4 linked regions of the Oryzias latipes genome follow. The protein of the gene in region 3 purifies or fractionates together with the protein of the main gene of each other region. This does not show direct contact. Links are inferred from orthologs where the notes say so. Each region holds a gene or a part of one and is shown on either strand. Other genes may lie near its edges. The genes, in order: paxbp1, tfip11, hdac11 and atg2b.

What was found.
Region 1: the proteins of hdac11 (region 3) and paxbp1 purify together in Homo sapiens (co-immunoprecipitation; 3 studies listed by BioGRID and IntAct, counting the BioPlex papers as one, with this or other methods). This does not show direct contact. The link is inferred for Oryzias latipes from reciprocal best matches to the Homo sapiens genes HDAC11 and PAXBP1.
Region 2: the proteins of hdac11 (region 3) and tfip11 purify together in Homo sapiens (co-immunoprecipitation; 3 studies listed by BioGRID and IntAct, counting the BioPlex papers as one, with this or other methods). This does not show direct contact. The link is inferred for Oryzias latipes from reciprocal best matches to the Homo sapiens genes HDAC11 and TFIP11.
Region 4: the proteins of hdac11 (region 3) and atg2b purify together in Homo sapiens (co-immunoprecipitation; 3 studies listed by BioGRID and IntAct, counting the BioPlex papers as one, with this or other methods). This does not show direct contact. The link is inferred for Oryzias latipes from reciprocal best matches to the Homo sapiens genes HDAC11 and ATG2B.

Annotation. Positions count from the first base shown.
Region 1 is NC_019872.2:11,588,821-11,592,907, reverse strand, and holds the start of paxbp1 (PAX3- and PAX7-binding protein 1), read left to right. Parts: upstream 1-1,260; 5' UTR 1,261-1,385; coding exon 1,386-1,689; intron 1,690-1,848; coding exon 1,849-1,971; intron 1,972-2,936; coding exon 2,937-3,146; intron 3,147-3,361; coding exon 3,362-3,580; intron 3,581-3,648; coding exon 3,649-3,752; intron 3,753-4,087. UniProt on the Homo sapiens protein: Adapter protein linking the transcription factors PAX3 and PAX7 to the histone methylation machinery and involved in myogenesis.
Region 2 is NC_019867.2:13,548,556-13,552,828, reverse strand, and holds the start of tfip11 (tuftelin-interacting protein 11), read right to left. Parts: upstream 2,803-4,273; 5' UTR 2,674-2,802; intron 2,275-2,673; 5' UTR 2,273-2,274; coding exon 2,067-2,272; intron 1,988-2,066; coding exon 1,822-1,987; intron 1,741-1,821; coding exon 1,584-1,740; intron 1,475-1,583; coding exon 1,347-1,474; intron 1,217-1,346; coding exon 1,055-1,216; intron 822-1,054; coding exon 630-821; intron 519-629; coding exon 339-518; intron 196-338; coding exon 61-195; intron 1-60. Other genes in the region: srrd (SRR1-like protein), read left to right, coding at 3,144-3,286, 3,397-3,437, 3,525-3,703, 3,789-3,887, 3,992-4,143, 4,221-4,273. UniProt on the Homo sapiens protein: Involved in pre-mRNA splicing, specifically in spliceosome disassembly during late-stage splicing events. Intron turnover seems to proceed through reactions in two lariat-intron associated complexes termed Intron Large (IL) and Intron Small (IS).
Region 3 is NC_019863.2:24,898,262-24,901,824, forward strand, and holds part of hdac11 (histone deacetylase 11), read left to right. Parts: intron 1-172; coding exon 173-289; intron 290-2,061; coding exon 2,062-2,104; intron 2,105-2,944; coding exon 2,945-3,021; intron 3,022-3,563. UniProt on the Homo sapiens protein: Responsible for the deacetylation of lysine residues on the N-terminal part of the core histones (H2A, H2B, H3 and H4).
Region 4 is NC_019880.2:13,120,795-13,124,357, reverse strand, and holds part of atg2b (autophagy-related protein 2 homolog B), read left to right. Parts: intron 1-468; coding exon 469-742; intron 743-830; coding exon 831-939; intron 940-1,008; coding exon 1,009-1,210; intron 1,211-3,012; coding exon 3,013-3,155; intron 3,156-3,348; coding exon 3,349-3,506; intron 3,507-3,563. UniProt on the Homo sapiens protein: Lipid transfer protein required for both autophagosome formation and regulation of lipid droplet morphology and dispersion.

The sequences.
Region 1 (4,087 bases), on a different chromosome or scaffold from region 3:
GTGTGTGTGTGCGTGCGTGGGTGCGTGTGTGCGTGTGTTGGAGACCCCGCGTGCATGTGTGAGAGCACGGGCGAAAGAGGGGGGTGAGAGCGCGGAGCGGGAGAGTTTGCGTCTATATTGTGTGATCGAGGACTGAAAACCTTAATAAAAAGATGGTGTCCCTCCCCAGAAGAAGTATTTTGTCTTATTAACTCGCTCTGGAGGCTGAGGATCCGAACGGGAAAGTGAATCCCAAACGAGGATCCGCCTTCGCTTCGGCCCTGGAGAAAATCTCCCCTGCGTTTCCGACCACGGTCAGAAAGAAAAAAAGAGAAGTTATCGCGTAGGTTCAACAGTGTCCCTGCAGCTGTCCACCTGAATCCTTTCTTCCTCCATTAAAGATCATCAGATCTCTACGTTTGTGTGACACTTCTGTCTGAGGAGGAGCACTTTCTGGCATTTTCAACGTTCTAATGCTAATATAACAGACTATTTTCATTCCTCTTTATTGTTATATGTTATAACGGGACGTTTCATCTGGAGGAGGGGGCGTATGTAAAACTGTTTACTTCTGCATTGGTGTTCGGATGACAGGTTCATGTCGTAAGGTGACTGATGAACTTCAGGATATGTGAATGAAAAGGAAAATAAAGGCTGCAGCGGTCCTCTACACCCAAATGTGTCTCTGAGCTCCTTATTATATATATGAAACTCCGCTTTACTGACACCGAACCCCGGAAAACCGGTTTACTCTGAAAATTATCTGATTTTGAGTCGCCAAAAAGTTCAGAATCTCATTGTTTTTTTAAACCTATCCGGAAAAAAACTTCAGAAAAGTCTCCACATAATCGATGACTTTTTTCTTGTAAATGTACGAGATTTTAAATCGTAAATTCTCGAGATAAAAGTTGTAAATTTACGAGTTTTTTCCTAGTAAATTTACGACTTAAAAGTCTTAATAAAAAAAAGACAAAGAGCGTTAGATACAGATGTCACTGTGGAGAGCTGAGTACATTAATTTTTTTTAGACAAACGTATATTTGTAAGTAATCTAGTAAGAAAACACCCTAATCTTGTCCAAATATCACGTAGCTCCCAAGAGCGCTGAATAATTTGAAACTGATTTTTTTTTTTGGTAGGAAAAAAAGTCCGCCTTCTTTTGTGCGTACGCAACGTTTATAAATAAGGCTCCTGGTCTAATGGTCCATTCCAAATGTTGCTTTCCCTATTTTGACCATTGGGGGCAGAAGAGCAGAATTTGAAGAAAATTCTCAGCTGAAAGAGAAGAAGAAAGTCTCCGACAGAAAATGGCGGACTTGCTTTGCGGCTTATGTGTTCGACGATTCTGAGCGCAAGTTGGTGTTTTAGTCCTTCCGAGTATGCGCTGGATTTGACTACTAGACACAATGTTTAAAAGGGCGAAAAGAGCCAATTTTCGAAGGAGGAACGACTCCGAGGAGGACGAGCAGGAGCAGAGCCAGCCACAGGCGCTCGTGCCCATGTCGTTTGGGCCTGCTGTGGAAATCCCGTTTATGGAAAAGAGCAGCGGCGGTTCCGGAGCGCTGAGCGGCACCGACAACGTTCACAGCAATGGCTTTTTGGCCAACATTAACAACGCGAAAGGTGTCAAAAAGGAAAAGAAATGCAAAGAAACGCCCGTTCAGCCTCTACCGGCTAAAGTCAGTCTGCTGAGTTTCGACGAGGAGGAAGGTAACTACTAGCAAAGACTGCTATGATAGCTTCTCTTTACGTCATAAACATTGGAAGTTTGTTCATTTTAGCGATATCCAAGCACTTTTTTGTGGTTTTTATGTTTGGTAAAAATCATGACATTATCTTAGGTTGAGATTTTCTTTGTCACTCCAACAGAAGCTACCGAGGTGTTCAGGGTGAAGAAACCAAACCACAGCAAGAAGATTGTCAAACAGCTGAAAAAAGAATACAAAGAAGATCTGGAAAAAGGTGGAAGTGGGAAACAGGAAAGCAAAACAGGTACCCATCTATCAAAATGTTGTTTTATGTCATTTTTACTTTGCCTTTCCTTTTTATTTTTTCTTGCGTGTGTTCATCTGTCACAACATAGTAAATTGAGATGTAATATAGCATTTGTTATATACTTCGTTTTAAACAGGTATAACTATTTTACATTTCCAATTTGGACTGAATGCCGTGCATAGCTCGTGCTGGTTTGCGGCGCCTTCCGTCCGTGAAACCAGGGTTCGACTCCGGGCTGCTCCCTGTTCCCTTCTCTACCCCTGTGCCGGTTCCAAGCCCGGTTTGAGAGGGTTGCGTCAGGAAGGGCATCCGGCGTAAAACATTGCCAAGTTTACCATGCGACTTGTTCGCTGTGGCGACCCCTGATGGGAGAAGCCGAAAGAGGAAGAAGACTGAATGCCGTGCATAATTAGGTTAAAATTTGTTTTTGCTGGACTGCATTGTTCAACTTTCCGGCAAATTCGCACTTGATCCTGCAAAAAATAATTGTTGCTGTCAGTAATTTCCAAAAATGTTTTAAACAGAATAATGATATGCAGGTGTTGATGTTTAAAATCGATTTTACTTGGTTTGCTATTGGAACAGTACTGTATGTGTCCAGCAGGAGGCAGTGTAAGGTAAAGCCTGTTGTTGCTGCATTGGTCACCAACACTAGGACCGGTTTAAAGATGAAAATTGTGTTTTTAATATGTTCTTTTGTCATTTTTCTGATGATGTATGAAACAATTATTTCAATTATTATAATATTAAACGCAGTGATAAATTTAGCAATACAAAAATAAACAACTTTTATTGATAATGAGCAACACAATATATTACCACATTATTGTATCAACTTCATAAGTATGACTTTAATTGGGTTAAAAATAAACTTTTATATAAGAAAATGTTATTCCAGGGAGTCATCTGTTTGTGGTGTTAAGCAATGCTTGAAATAAACTAAACATGTATTTTTCTTTCAGGTGCTCCATCTAAGCCTATGTTTGCGATTAAAGAGGAAGTTATCAGCAGGGAAAACAGTGAACATGGAGAGGAAGAAATGGAGGTCGACAGCGATGAACAGGACGAAGAGGCGCGGAGTCAGGGTGTTCCAACACGTGGTCAAATACCCAAAAGCATCAATCCAGGAGGGACGTTTAACACGCTTTCCTCCCTCAGCAGTTTGAAACCAGGTAGGAATATTCAACAGTGAAACATTTGGGGAAGGATTGTGGTAAAAACCCACTAAGAAGAAGAAGAATTGTCCTGTTTTTGTGATGTCTGTACACATAAATATTCAGATGACTGCAACAGAAACAGCGTACCACATATCTAAACCTCTGTTTCTGAAATGTTTCTGCCCAAAAACTGCACAAATATTTAGCTAAAGACGGTGTCTGTCCTGCAGGCGAGATCCCAGATGCGGCTTTCATCCATGCTGCCAGGAAACGCCGGCAGCTGGCAAGAGAACTGGGGGGCGAAGCTCCTCTGGTACAGATGGACACGCCCCAGAAGCGTTTGGATCAAGAAGACCAGGATGCTAGTGATGATGACGAGGATGAGAAGAGGATCCGTTTCAGTGGAGTCAAGAACAAAACCCAGAGGCAGAAGATAGCTGAAGAAATAGGTATTGCGCTTTCGTCTTGATTGCTCACTTACACTGATTTAGTTTTAAACGTGTGTGTGCTTTTACAGGTATTGAGGGAAGTGATGATGAAGCTCTGGATGCAGCAGGTCAGGATGAGGAGGTGAGCCGATGGGAGCAGGAGCAGATCAGAAAAGGAATTAGTATACCTCAGGTAAGCAGCACTACATATTTACAAAAACTGTGCTTTTTTTATTATGCTTTTTATTTGTTAGTTGTTGTTTTTTTCTTTAGAATAAAACGTAAGTGAAACACATCTCTTGTCTGTCAGGTTTGACCTGCACTAGGGTTTGTTTTGCTTTAAGAGTCTGTGTGCAAGTTCCCCTCAGAACTAGTTCAGATCTGGGTCTCTGCTCACTTCAGAGTGAACTAAAGACAGTCGGTGATGGAACTGCCACCCAAACCACATAGCAGAAAACTGAAGCAGGAATCGCTAAGAAGTTGGAAAATGTCTGAGCAAAGGTGGTGAAGTGAGGAGCTACAGGAAAT
Region 2 (4,273 bases), on a different chromosome or scaffold from region 3:
TTTCCCCCCCACAGAAATAAAAGCGTAATAATTTAATTAGAATAATTAAAAAAAAAAAACCTTTAGAGGCTCCCATGAGTGAAGTTTCTCCTTAAGTAAAGGATGAACAACTGCCACAGCCAGGTCTGCCAATCCCATCATTTTATACTCTTCATAATAATCTGTTTGTAAAGTCTCAAAGATCTGGGCACACTCCTGGGCACAGAGAGGTGAGAAAATAAACAAATAAGTATGTTCAAAATGATTAAATGTTAGAAGAATGGAGATTAAAAACCATTAGGAACAAATAAACTGCAAGATAAGTACATCTAGTTTGGGTATTTTCATGTGCCACGTACCTGAAGAGTCGGTCCCTCCCCTGGTGGCGTCTCTCCAGAGGGAAAACGCTCCACCAGTGCCAAAACAGCCTCCATTTTCTGGATGGCATCTTGCTCTGCTTCTAGTCTGCTCTGCAACGCACGGGACTCATGACTCAGAGAAACGACCACGTCCTTTTCATGCTGTAGACGTCTGGCCGACTACAAAAGAATAAATAAAGAGAGCAGAAGAAAAAAATTAAATCTGGAAGCCCACTTGAAACGGGTTAATAGTTGAAAATGATTTGAAAGAATTTCAGATTTTCCTCTGACCTGTAAAATGTCCTGTTCTGTGAGGTCGATCAGCAGCTGAAGATTATGCTCAAGCTCAGGGAGAGCGAAGCCGGAACCCTTCTGATCCCGTGTGGACATGGCTGGTGGGGTTTCATCGGGAACACTGTGTTTGTTGGCTATCTGACTGTAACTGTAGTAAACCTTTGGCTCTCTTACAGTCATATCTATAACCTAAATTTGAAGAGAGATAAAAACAATTAATAAAAAGAAAACTTGAATCATTTTACTTCCATGGCCATAAAAATCTTTCAATTTATTTCAGTTTTATGCTGAAAGGAGGAAATGTAAAAAAAAAAAAAAAAACAAGTAGATGCTTGTGAAGCTCTTTAAAATATTAAAGTTTGTGGTTTTTTTCATTGTTCTGACCCGAAATTAAAAGGACATAACGCAGGATTTTAACGCACCTTAACCTGCGCCAACTCTCCTGCAGATGCTGCCATGTTCCGAGAAACCATTTTGCCTTTAGCCCTCAGCTCATCTGCAGTTCTGTATGAGTATTTTGGTTTCTTCTTGACTGCGGAGCCCGCAGGATCCTTTCGCCACTGACCCAATTCTTTTTGAAACTCCTACAACAACACACATTACAGGAGAAAAACAAGAAGATAATTTCACAGTTAGCCCTCAATTCTTCAGATACACAATCACTGTGAAAACAAGATTATATGGAGTAAAGAACTGCTCGTGGCAAAATCTCACCTTTTCCTCCTCTTCTTCAGAGTCAACCACAGGGAAGTCCTGCAGACTCTGCTGGGTTCTCTCATTGCCATATGCACCTACAGCTCCTTTACCTTTACGGACCTTTGCCTCAATAGGGTTTACAATACCTACATAAACAAAACAGAGGCATGGCAATAAAATCTCTATTATTTTCCCTCTGAAATGCATGCAAAAGCACAATCGTGTACAGTACTTTTCCTCCTTTACGCTGCCTACCTTGAGCATTTTTTCCAAGCCCCTTTCCAGGCTGGTAACCCATTTTCTGCAGAAGCTTCTGTCCAATTCCTTTTGTGTGCTTCTCCCAGGTTCCAATACCCTGTCCAGATTGTATTCCACCAGCAAACCTCTGGGACTGATTCCCACGAAAATTACTCTGACAAAACAAAGAAATTATAGACGTCAGTTTAAAAAGAAAGCTTTTTTAGATAAAATATGTTCTTAAGCGAAACTTTACCATCTGAAGTTTTCTAGGTGCAATTCCACGAGTAGGAGGGGGAACTGCAGGGGCATCCTCTTCCGAATCATCAGAACCTTCTTCTTTGTCTTGCTGTTTCTCCTCGGCTGCAGTTTTACGTAGACCGGCACTAACAAAATTCACTGGGGTGCTGTAATCTTTCGACCTAAAGAAAATGTACACTGTTAACATCCTCTGCAAAAATTTTCACATTTAGACATCAGAGCATCAAACCTGTGAATTACCTCTTGCCACCAAAGCTGGGTCTCTCATCTTCATCTGAATCTTTGTCAGCCCAGATCCCATAAGTGGCCTGCTCCTTGGTCTGCCTAAACCTGCGGCGTTCTGGGTTAAACTCATTGGCCAGATCCCAGTCTGTCACCTCGAAGCTTTCGATCTCCACACCTTCTTCCTCTTCTTCCCTCCGCCCGTAAAGATGGGACATCGACATTTCTAGATAGAGACCCAATACAAAAAAAAATCATAAAAGCCATACAATTGAAAAACATTCAAGTTGCTTAAAAAATCGTACAACAGCATGAAACCACAGTCAGCAATGATTGCTAACGCTAGCTAAGCACGAAGCTAGCCACAAAACTGTTTCGGTCACAAACAATTATCAACATAAATATCAACTGTATTGCACATTTGTATGATTGAAAGCGTAAAAATACATTAAGAAGTTTCAAGCAAAAAGGTATTAACTAACAGAACTCAGATATTAATAATGCAAATGATGAGATTTTTTAGCGAAATCTAGCTAACGATAGTTGGGACATTAAATCCCATTACGACTGCAGAAACATTTCGAACTTGGAAAGTAGAAAGGCACTTAATACAAACAAAGCTTACTTGACAAGAAATAGTTTATACACTTAGAGATTAATTAAAACTCATTCTTGGCTGTCTGTAGCAAGAAGAGGTTATCTGTGTAGCTTTTCGTTCAACGCACGAACGTGGAAATACTTCCGGGTAAAGTCTGTCCGTCAGTACTGACGAATAAATGTTGTGACCTTAAAACTTTGAGATTTTACTTATTTTTATTTGTTTGCATTTACTAAAGATTTGTGTTGGTTTTTATATAAATTTCTCTAAGTTAAAACAGCAACACCACACATTTAGGTTAATAAATTATGTGATAAAAGCTTTTATTTTGGCGTTACACCGGAAGACAAATGTGTTACACTTAAAACCGTCCTACGCGCTGCTGATTTTGTGGCGGAGGTGATTAGGGTGTTTGTTTTTTAATTATTATCACTGTTTTTTTTTCACCCCTAACATTTTATTATAGATCGTTGAATGATGGGAATGAGATAAAAAAAATGTCTGAAAGTGAGTGGCAGGTCGCTCGGCGTCGAAAAGGGCAAACAAGGAAGTTTAAATCTCATGTGCCTTTAAGTTCCACCAGCGTCCAAGAAGACCAGCTTGATGTCGAGAAAGTTGTCAGACGGATCAGGACCACTGTGTAAGAAATAAAATAAAAAAAACGGAAAACCACTCATAAACATAGTTCATTGTGCCTTATCGAGGGGAAAACTAATTCTGATATCTCATTCTTTACTCTCTGTCTCATAGGACTGAGTTGAGATGCGAAGAGTTTTGGCACAAATGGAAAGGTAAGTAAAACATAACCAAATTTTTTAGACATGTTTTTTTTATTTAGTGTGTAATTGAATTGTAACTCTTATGTTCCTCGTCCTCAGATGAGCTGCTGATGGCATCCACAGCATCAGCATCTGCAGAGAAGGACGTCACTGAGGAGCATCTGAAGAACACAGGTGATCAGCTGGAGTGTGTGTGTTATGGCCTTGGCTCCTTTTCTTCTTGCACTGCAGCCCGGTATCAGCTTGCCATGCTGCTTCTGCTGCTGGAAGTATTACAGGTCAGAAGAGAGCATTAGACTATGTTCTAACAAACATGTGTTATGTTTGTTTTGAGTTGCTCATTTAGTTTTTTTTCTCCTAAAGGTTTCCTTAAGGGATTGCTTGGTTTATGATCCCATATTCTCCTCTGGAGAGCAGGATGTCTTGAGGGAGCTGGGAATGACTGTACTCACAGAAAACGAGGTCATGTCAATTGTTTTTCTTTTTGCACTTCTAGAGAACAAACTGCTGATGTTATCACCGTAACTGAGATCTAAACAGACTAAAGTATCCGCTGTTTTATTTAGGAGGGGAAGCGTCTGGTGACCAAGCCCACTCTTTTTTATCTCATGCACTGTGGGAAGGCTCTGTACAACAACCTACTGTGGAAAAACTGGAGCTTACGGGGATTATACCAGCTTGTAATCATTGGAAACAGCTTCAATGGTATGAGGGAAAGGTTCGTAGAAAACACTGATGATGGAGCGCATCGTTTTTAGCAAACAGAGATGAAATAATGTCCTCTGTCTGTTGCAGAACGGTGGAAAGAGTGTTCAAACAGGAATACAGCTACATCAGTAAAGCTGTGG
Region 3 (3,563 bases):
TGCATGTTGGGAAATGACTGGCTCCATCATGACCAAAAGTTTTAAATGTATTATAAAACATGTACCTAAAACTGTTACATAAATGTCTTAAGATGACATTTCAAAATTAAAAAGTCTAAGGTTTTGTTATGAAGTATCATGTGTACTGTGCTTCTGCTTTGTTTGGCGGCAGTGGTCGGTCGTCGTGGCAACCATCACAGAAATCCCTCCGCTCTTGTTTCTGCCGAATTTCCTGGTGCAGCGAAAGGTGCTGAGGCCTTTACGGACGCAAACAGGAGGAACCATCATGGTAACTCCACCCCCGCGTTCTTTCTTTGAGAGTCTTTGTCCATCATCCACTCACCGTCATCCTCAGAAGATCCTCTGTGCTTCTAGGTCATGAACTCTAAACCCTTCTTCAGAACTCACCTCTATAAACGACACAAATATGGATGATTACATGCACAAGATTTGATGTCAATAAATAACAAATTGAATTATGATTTGTTGGTTGTTGGTTTCATGGTTGTTGGTTTCATGCCCCGTAAGAGCACCACTGATGCCATTTTTGCTTTGAGAATGTTGATGGAAAAGTACAGAGAAGGTCAGAAGGAGCTGCATTGTGTGTTCGTAGATTTAGAGAAGGCGTATGACAGGGTGCCGAGGGAGGAGCTGTGGTACTGTATGAGGTCGTCTGGAGTGGCAGAGAAGTATGTCAGAGTAGTTCAGGACATGTATGAGAGAAGTATGACGGTGGTGAGATGTGCTGTAGGTCAGACAGAGGAGTTCAAGGTGGAGGTGGGACTACACCAAGGATCAGCTTTGAGTCCTTTTTTGTTTGCTATGCTGATGGACAGGCTGACAGACGAGGTAAGACAGGAATCTCCCTGGACAATGATGTTTGCGGATGACATTGTAATTTGCAGTGAGAGTAGAGAGCAGGTGGAGGAACAGCTAGAGAGGTGGAGGTTTGCTCTGGAAAGAAGAGGCATGAAGGTCAGTCGTAGTAAGACAGAATACATGTGTCTGAACGAGAGGGATCAAGGTAGAAGCGTTAGGTTACAGGGGACTGAGGTGAAGAAGGTGCAGGAGTTTAAGTACTTGGGGTCAACAGTTCAGTGTGATGGGGATTGTGGAAAAGAGGTGAAGAGGCGAGTGCAGGCAGGTTGGAGCGGGTGGAGGAAAGTGTCAGGAGTGTTGTGTGACAGAAGAGTGTCAGCAAGACTCAAAGGAAAGGTGTACAAGACAGTGGTGAGACCAGCTCTGCTCTATGGGTTAGAGACGGTAGCAGTGAGACAGAGACAAGAGGCTGAGATGGAGGTAGCGGAGATGAAGATGTTGAGGTTCTCCTTAGGAGTGACCAGGTTAGACAGGATAAGGAACGAGTACATCAGAGGGACGGCTCATGTTGCCTGTGTCAGCGACAAAGTCAGAGAAGCCAGACTGAGATGGTTTGGACATGTTCAGAGGAGGGATAGTGGATATATTGGTAGAAGGATGTTGGAGATGGAGCTGCCTGGCAGGAGGGCAAGAGGACGGCCAAAGAGGAGATACATGGATGTCTTAACAGAGGACATGAAGTTGGCTAATGTTAGGGTAGAAGATGTCCATGATAGAGTGAGGTGGAAAAGGATGATTCGCTGTGGCGACCCCTGATGGGAAAAGCCGAAAGAGAAAGAAGATGATTTGTTGGTTGTGTTCTAGGTAAAAGGTCTTCCATCCACCGTAAAAGAGTGATTTCTGCCTAATAAGTTTAGCAAATACTCTGTGTCAGTCTATAATCCTTCTTAAAGAACAGATGTGCAAGCTTTTGTTTATCTTTCATCCTATCTGTTTGATGACATCTGTTTTTTTCTTATTTTTTCTGTCATTTTACATCCTTTGACTACAGCTAATCGCCGCCGTTAAAACTTTAGGAGATCAGGGACAAACAGGAGAAGTTAAAACCATAGAAAGGTTGAAGTTTTAGAAATGTGTTATGTTTGAAATGATTTATTGGTTTATTTCATAGTAAAAATGACCAAGTCTGATCTTTAATGGGATTCTTTTAAAGGAGCTGAAGTAAAACATTGTCTTCTACAGGCTGGAAAACTGGCTGTTGACCGAGGATGGGCCATCAACGTTGGTGAGTAAGTCCACGGTGAAGCAGAAGCACCAGCCGGGTTAACTTTGTTCTTTCAAACATAATTAGGTTCAAAAGTTAAAGTGCTTCTTGATTTAGCGTGTCGGCTCTGTATGAATGCAACCTCACCTCCACAATCATCATCATTTGTTTTTTTCTCTCTGAACTGCTATGAGGAGTGAATTTCTCCTTGTGAAGCTTTGGAGACACGTGCCACATGTGCTCAAGAACATGCTAAACGCGCATTCTTGAATGTGCAATTAGGCCATGGTGTTCAAACTGGACAAGCAGGGAGGGTTTTTTTCCTCTTTTTGTTTTTCTACTGTTTAGTAGCACATGTCCACCACCTACAGTTAGAAGAGACGTGGTGCAAAATGCCAAAGCGGTGTAAATCTTACAAATCTTACTCCAGGCTTCTTTTTCACAGCTCGATTTCGTTATATGAAAGACTTGGTGTCATTGAATTCTGGCCAGGCACAAACCACAATTATTCATTTCTCCTCCATGATCAATTTTCAAATGGTTAGCATTTTCATGAATTAAAAGGGACGCCATCCATACGCAAAAATACGAGTCTGATTGGTCAAAGTTCACCCTGATTTAACTTTCAACGCGTGTTCAGTAGCCGCACGTTCTCTACATAGAGCTTGAAAACAGTCGTAGTAACTTGAAGGCGAGAGTTTTAAACACGGAAACCTGAAACACGCAGTTACACGTGTTTACATAGACTCTACACCGGAAGTGCTTGAATACACGTTGCTTAGGGCGGTGCGAACGTAGCTTGAGCTGTTCTTCATGAACCTGGACCTTGTTACCTCAACACTTTCCTCTGCTGTCTTTCAGGTGGGGGCTTCCATCACTGCTCCAGTAACAAGGGTGGAGGCTTTTGCGCCTATGCGGACATCACTCTGGCCATCAAGGTGATTCTCACAACCTCTGTGTCATTCTGGACACAAAGGGTGTGTAAAGAGTGTGTGGTACACAGAGGGTGTGGTGCTCTTTCAGACAGAAACTGTGGTAAACTCATGTCTGTTCACATGTCTGAATGGGCAGCTGTAAAGTGAATGTAATCAGTCATGAAAATAAGCAGAGAAGTGTTTTGTCTCAGTCAGGGATGGAAGCGTCCCTCCGCAATTATGTTTAAGAAAGCAGTGCACAGTCTGAAAATAGACTACAACCAAATAAGCATAAAAAGTGAAGCAGAACACTATGAACACAGCGGCAAGGCTAACAGATGGAAAATAAAAGGATTTTCACAGATTATTTCTTTGGATTGTCACTTTGCTGACGACTTTTTAAGCCTTTATAATGCCTAAAACTGGGATGTTTATCATTGCCAGGAGCAGCTGGTACTCTAAATGTTTACAGAAAAATGTCTATTTCAAGTGTTGATGTTGTCTTGTTTCACACTGCTGGGGTATCCATTAAGACAGATCTGGTGTCATCTCCGTAATGGTTTTGT
Region 4 (3,563 bases), on a different chromosome or scaffold from region 3:
AATAAAAGGTTGTTCAGCATCCTCAGAGGGACTCTTCCAGGTTTTAGCAGCAGAAATCTGAAACACCGCTTCACAGTGTTTAGTCTTTAATCTGGAAAATTTACAGAAAATCTGTCTCTGATCGTCTCAGGGCTTAAAGTGGTTCATAGGGCTTGTGCACAAAGCAGATTGTTAGTTCTAGCTTGCTAGACTAACCTTTATTTGTGATTGTTTTGGTTCAATGGGGTCAGTCTTACTGTTTTAATCAATTGTTTAGTGCATTATCCATATAAGTCTGCATAAGACATATATTTGTCATCTAAATTTTGTCTGACCATTGATAATTTAAAATGGAAATACAAGCTTGTCCTGCAATGACCTTAAATGACCTTAAACTAATAAAATGATTCTTTCAGCTGTATCCCATGTTAAATAGTTCAATATACAAAAAAAAAAACTCTTTTTTTTTTTTTTTAAAACCTTTTGCAGCACAAAGCCTTCACTGAGGTTTTCCTTGATGACACCCATACACCCTCCAGCTGTCACGTGTCACTGACGGTAAATGCCCCAGTGCTTGGCCTTGCAGTGCGCTTTCCCATCCCTGATCTGCGTTCAGATCAGGAAAGAGGGCCCTGGTTCAAAAAGTCCCTGCAGAAGGAAGTACTTTATCTGGACCTGGAGGACCTGGAGGTTAAAATAGAGTTCATGGGTGGTAACTCACCAGATCAAACCAAAATGGAGCTCACGTTCAAAGAACTTAAAGGTATATCCCCTCCACATCTGCACTCTGAGTTGTAACTTTTTATTTGAAGGCTGCTGATAAATGAACTTTATCATTTCTTTGTATGTAGGCAAGTTCCAGGAGGACCCAGAGGAACCTGCTTCCTGTTTTCTCCGAGTATCCAACACTATGGACGGAGACATGACAACATCTGAAAGTGGGAAGTTCGACTGGCCAAGGTAAGTGTACACAACTCAAACCTATGTGTCCGTTCAGCAGCGTCTTCAGTCCTTCAACTCTTTGTGCAGAGTGGTGTTGAAGATGAACCCCACTGCAGTCCATTCAATCCTCGAGCGTGTGACGGCTGAGGATGACGAGGGCGCTGAGGACCACTCGCTTGAGGAAGAAGAGGAGGAAGGGGCTGCCCATTCACTAAAAGACGTGTGTGACTTTGGGAAGCCGGAACCCTCACCCTTTTCTTCCCGAAGGGTTATGTATGAGAATGAAGAGGTAATTCATATTCCTTTTCAAGTATCTCCACATTTCGTTCTGTTAAAGGGTTTTATGTGTTTTATTTAGACATGAGAAAAATGTACAGAGCTCTTCATTTCTGTCCACACTTATAATAAACCCGAGTTTAGTTATAACTGAAAATGATCATCTAAAAACTAAAACTGCTATTTGAAACCTTTGAATTGATTCTTTTGCCCTTTTTTTCTCAAAATGAAATAAACCAAAAGAATGTAATAAAACATTGCAACATTTTTAAGCCGCTGGCTTGCAAGTAGAGTTATTTTGATTTGTGTAAGTGATCAATACTAAATAGTCAAAAGGGACAAATACAAACCGTTTAAGCAAAATCAATGAATTATCCTTTACAGAAGAAATGATCACTTTCTTTGCTTATTAATGACTTATTTTTGACTACAGTTATGCAAATTTGTCGTTCATAGAGGACTTTTTTTAACCTGAATATCTGCCAACCACTGCATACTATTGAATTAACTCCTTTTTGTATTTATAAAGGACATTTGGGTCTTTTTAGTGATGATGAGTCCCTGAAAGTTGTAGTTTTAGGTGGATCTAAAAAAGTTTTTTTAACTGGACAATTTTTTTCTCTCTGGTAGTCTGTCCACTGTTCAAACAGAATTTTATTTTTTAGGATTTCCAGTTGGTGGTGTGACTTCCTTGTGATTTGCATTCACAGGAAAAGGGAACTTTTTGATGTTTAAATATATTTATTAAGTTTTAACAAATTTCGACACAAATTCAGACAAGCCCCCTCCCCCACTGTCAGTCATAAAACACAATGCAGTTACAGTATATTAATAGAATATGTATGCAAACACACATAACTATATATATGTAAACACACAAAAACCCTAACACATAAACAATATTTAAGAGTCAGTTCAGAGAGTATAATAAAAGCAAATAACAGCCAGATATGCAAACAAATAAATGTATATTAAAAGTAAAGATGGATTATTGAAAAAGGTCAAGAAGGGTTTCCTCACTATATAGTTTGTGTTCTGAACCCCTTATTTTCTCAAGATAAGGTGAAACAAAACATCTTTAACCCAGTGTGATGCAGTTTGTGGTTCAATGTCCATCCATTTAAGCAGAGTCAGATGTCGTGCTAGTAAAGAAAAAACATGAATCCTTTGACCCCCAGTCGGAAAAGGTAGCCCCTCATCACAAATCACCAAAAGAAGCATTATTGGGCAAAGTGGAAAAGTGACATTTTGCTTAAAAAAGGTTAAATAACACTTCTCTAAAGCACAGTCATGGTTAAATTGGGCAACATATTAGAATTCCAGCTTATATCAGTCTCCAATTTACTTAAAATATACAGCTCCAGCTGATTCTATGTTAAACATGCGCATAACATAAAAGGTGAATAAAGGATTCTAAAAAGTTAACAGGAAATAGGCTGTAATTGTGAATATTTGTAAATATAAACATGTCGATATTTTTTATGATTACCTTCATCTTTATTGTGGATCCTAAATTGTTCTGACTGGTATAGCTGTAGCTACACGTGGTGACGCACGCCGCCTCAATGACATCACCTCTTCGCATTTGTTTAACAGTAAAATCCGTCTGACCATCAGGACCATTGTGTTTGTTGCAAAGCAGGTGCACTTTGTCTAAGTGAAAACATTTGCATTCAGTATAACCTGCTGGACGGATCGTCCCTCATTACTGATGGTTTCTCAGGCAAATAGTTCCGTGCTTTGAATACCTGAACTGTTGACAAAACATGCTGATGTGGTCTGATGATTTCATTTTTTCCCCTTTTCTAATCTCAGATGGTCATTCCCGGTGATGTTGTGGAAATGACAGAGTTCCAGGAAAAAACCATGAACAACTCGCGTTTTGTCCTCGAGTTGAGTTTCCCAAATGTGCAATTAGTGCTCCCAAGCAAGGCATTCTACGAAAAGCTACACAACAGGTGCAAAATAATCATTTTCTCTTAAAAAAAAAAAAAAAAAAGCATTATCAGAGTTGATCAAGTATCACTCACTTTTATGAAGTCGCCAAATCCCTGCTGCTGTTAAATTTGATTACTTTTTTTTCAAATCTTGTTTACTTTTTGAAGACTTGTAGCCTAAATCCTGTTAAAAGGGAAATTGTTCATATTGTAGGATAAACAACGACCTGTTGCTGTGGGAGCCCACTGCTCCGTCCCCCGTGGAAACTGTGGAGAACATGCCCTATGGAGTTGGACTGTCTGTTGCCAGTCAGCTGATCAATACGTACTCCAAAGACAGCTTTAGCCAGTTTCGCTCTGCTGGTCCTGATGGTGAGGCAGCTACTTGTTTTTTTTCTTTTAGTGATACAATGAGCTTAAAGCAGTCTT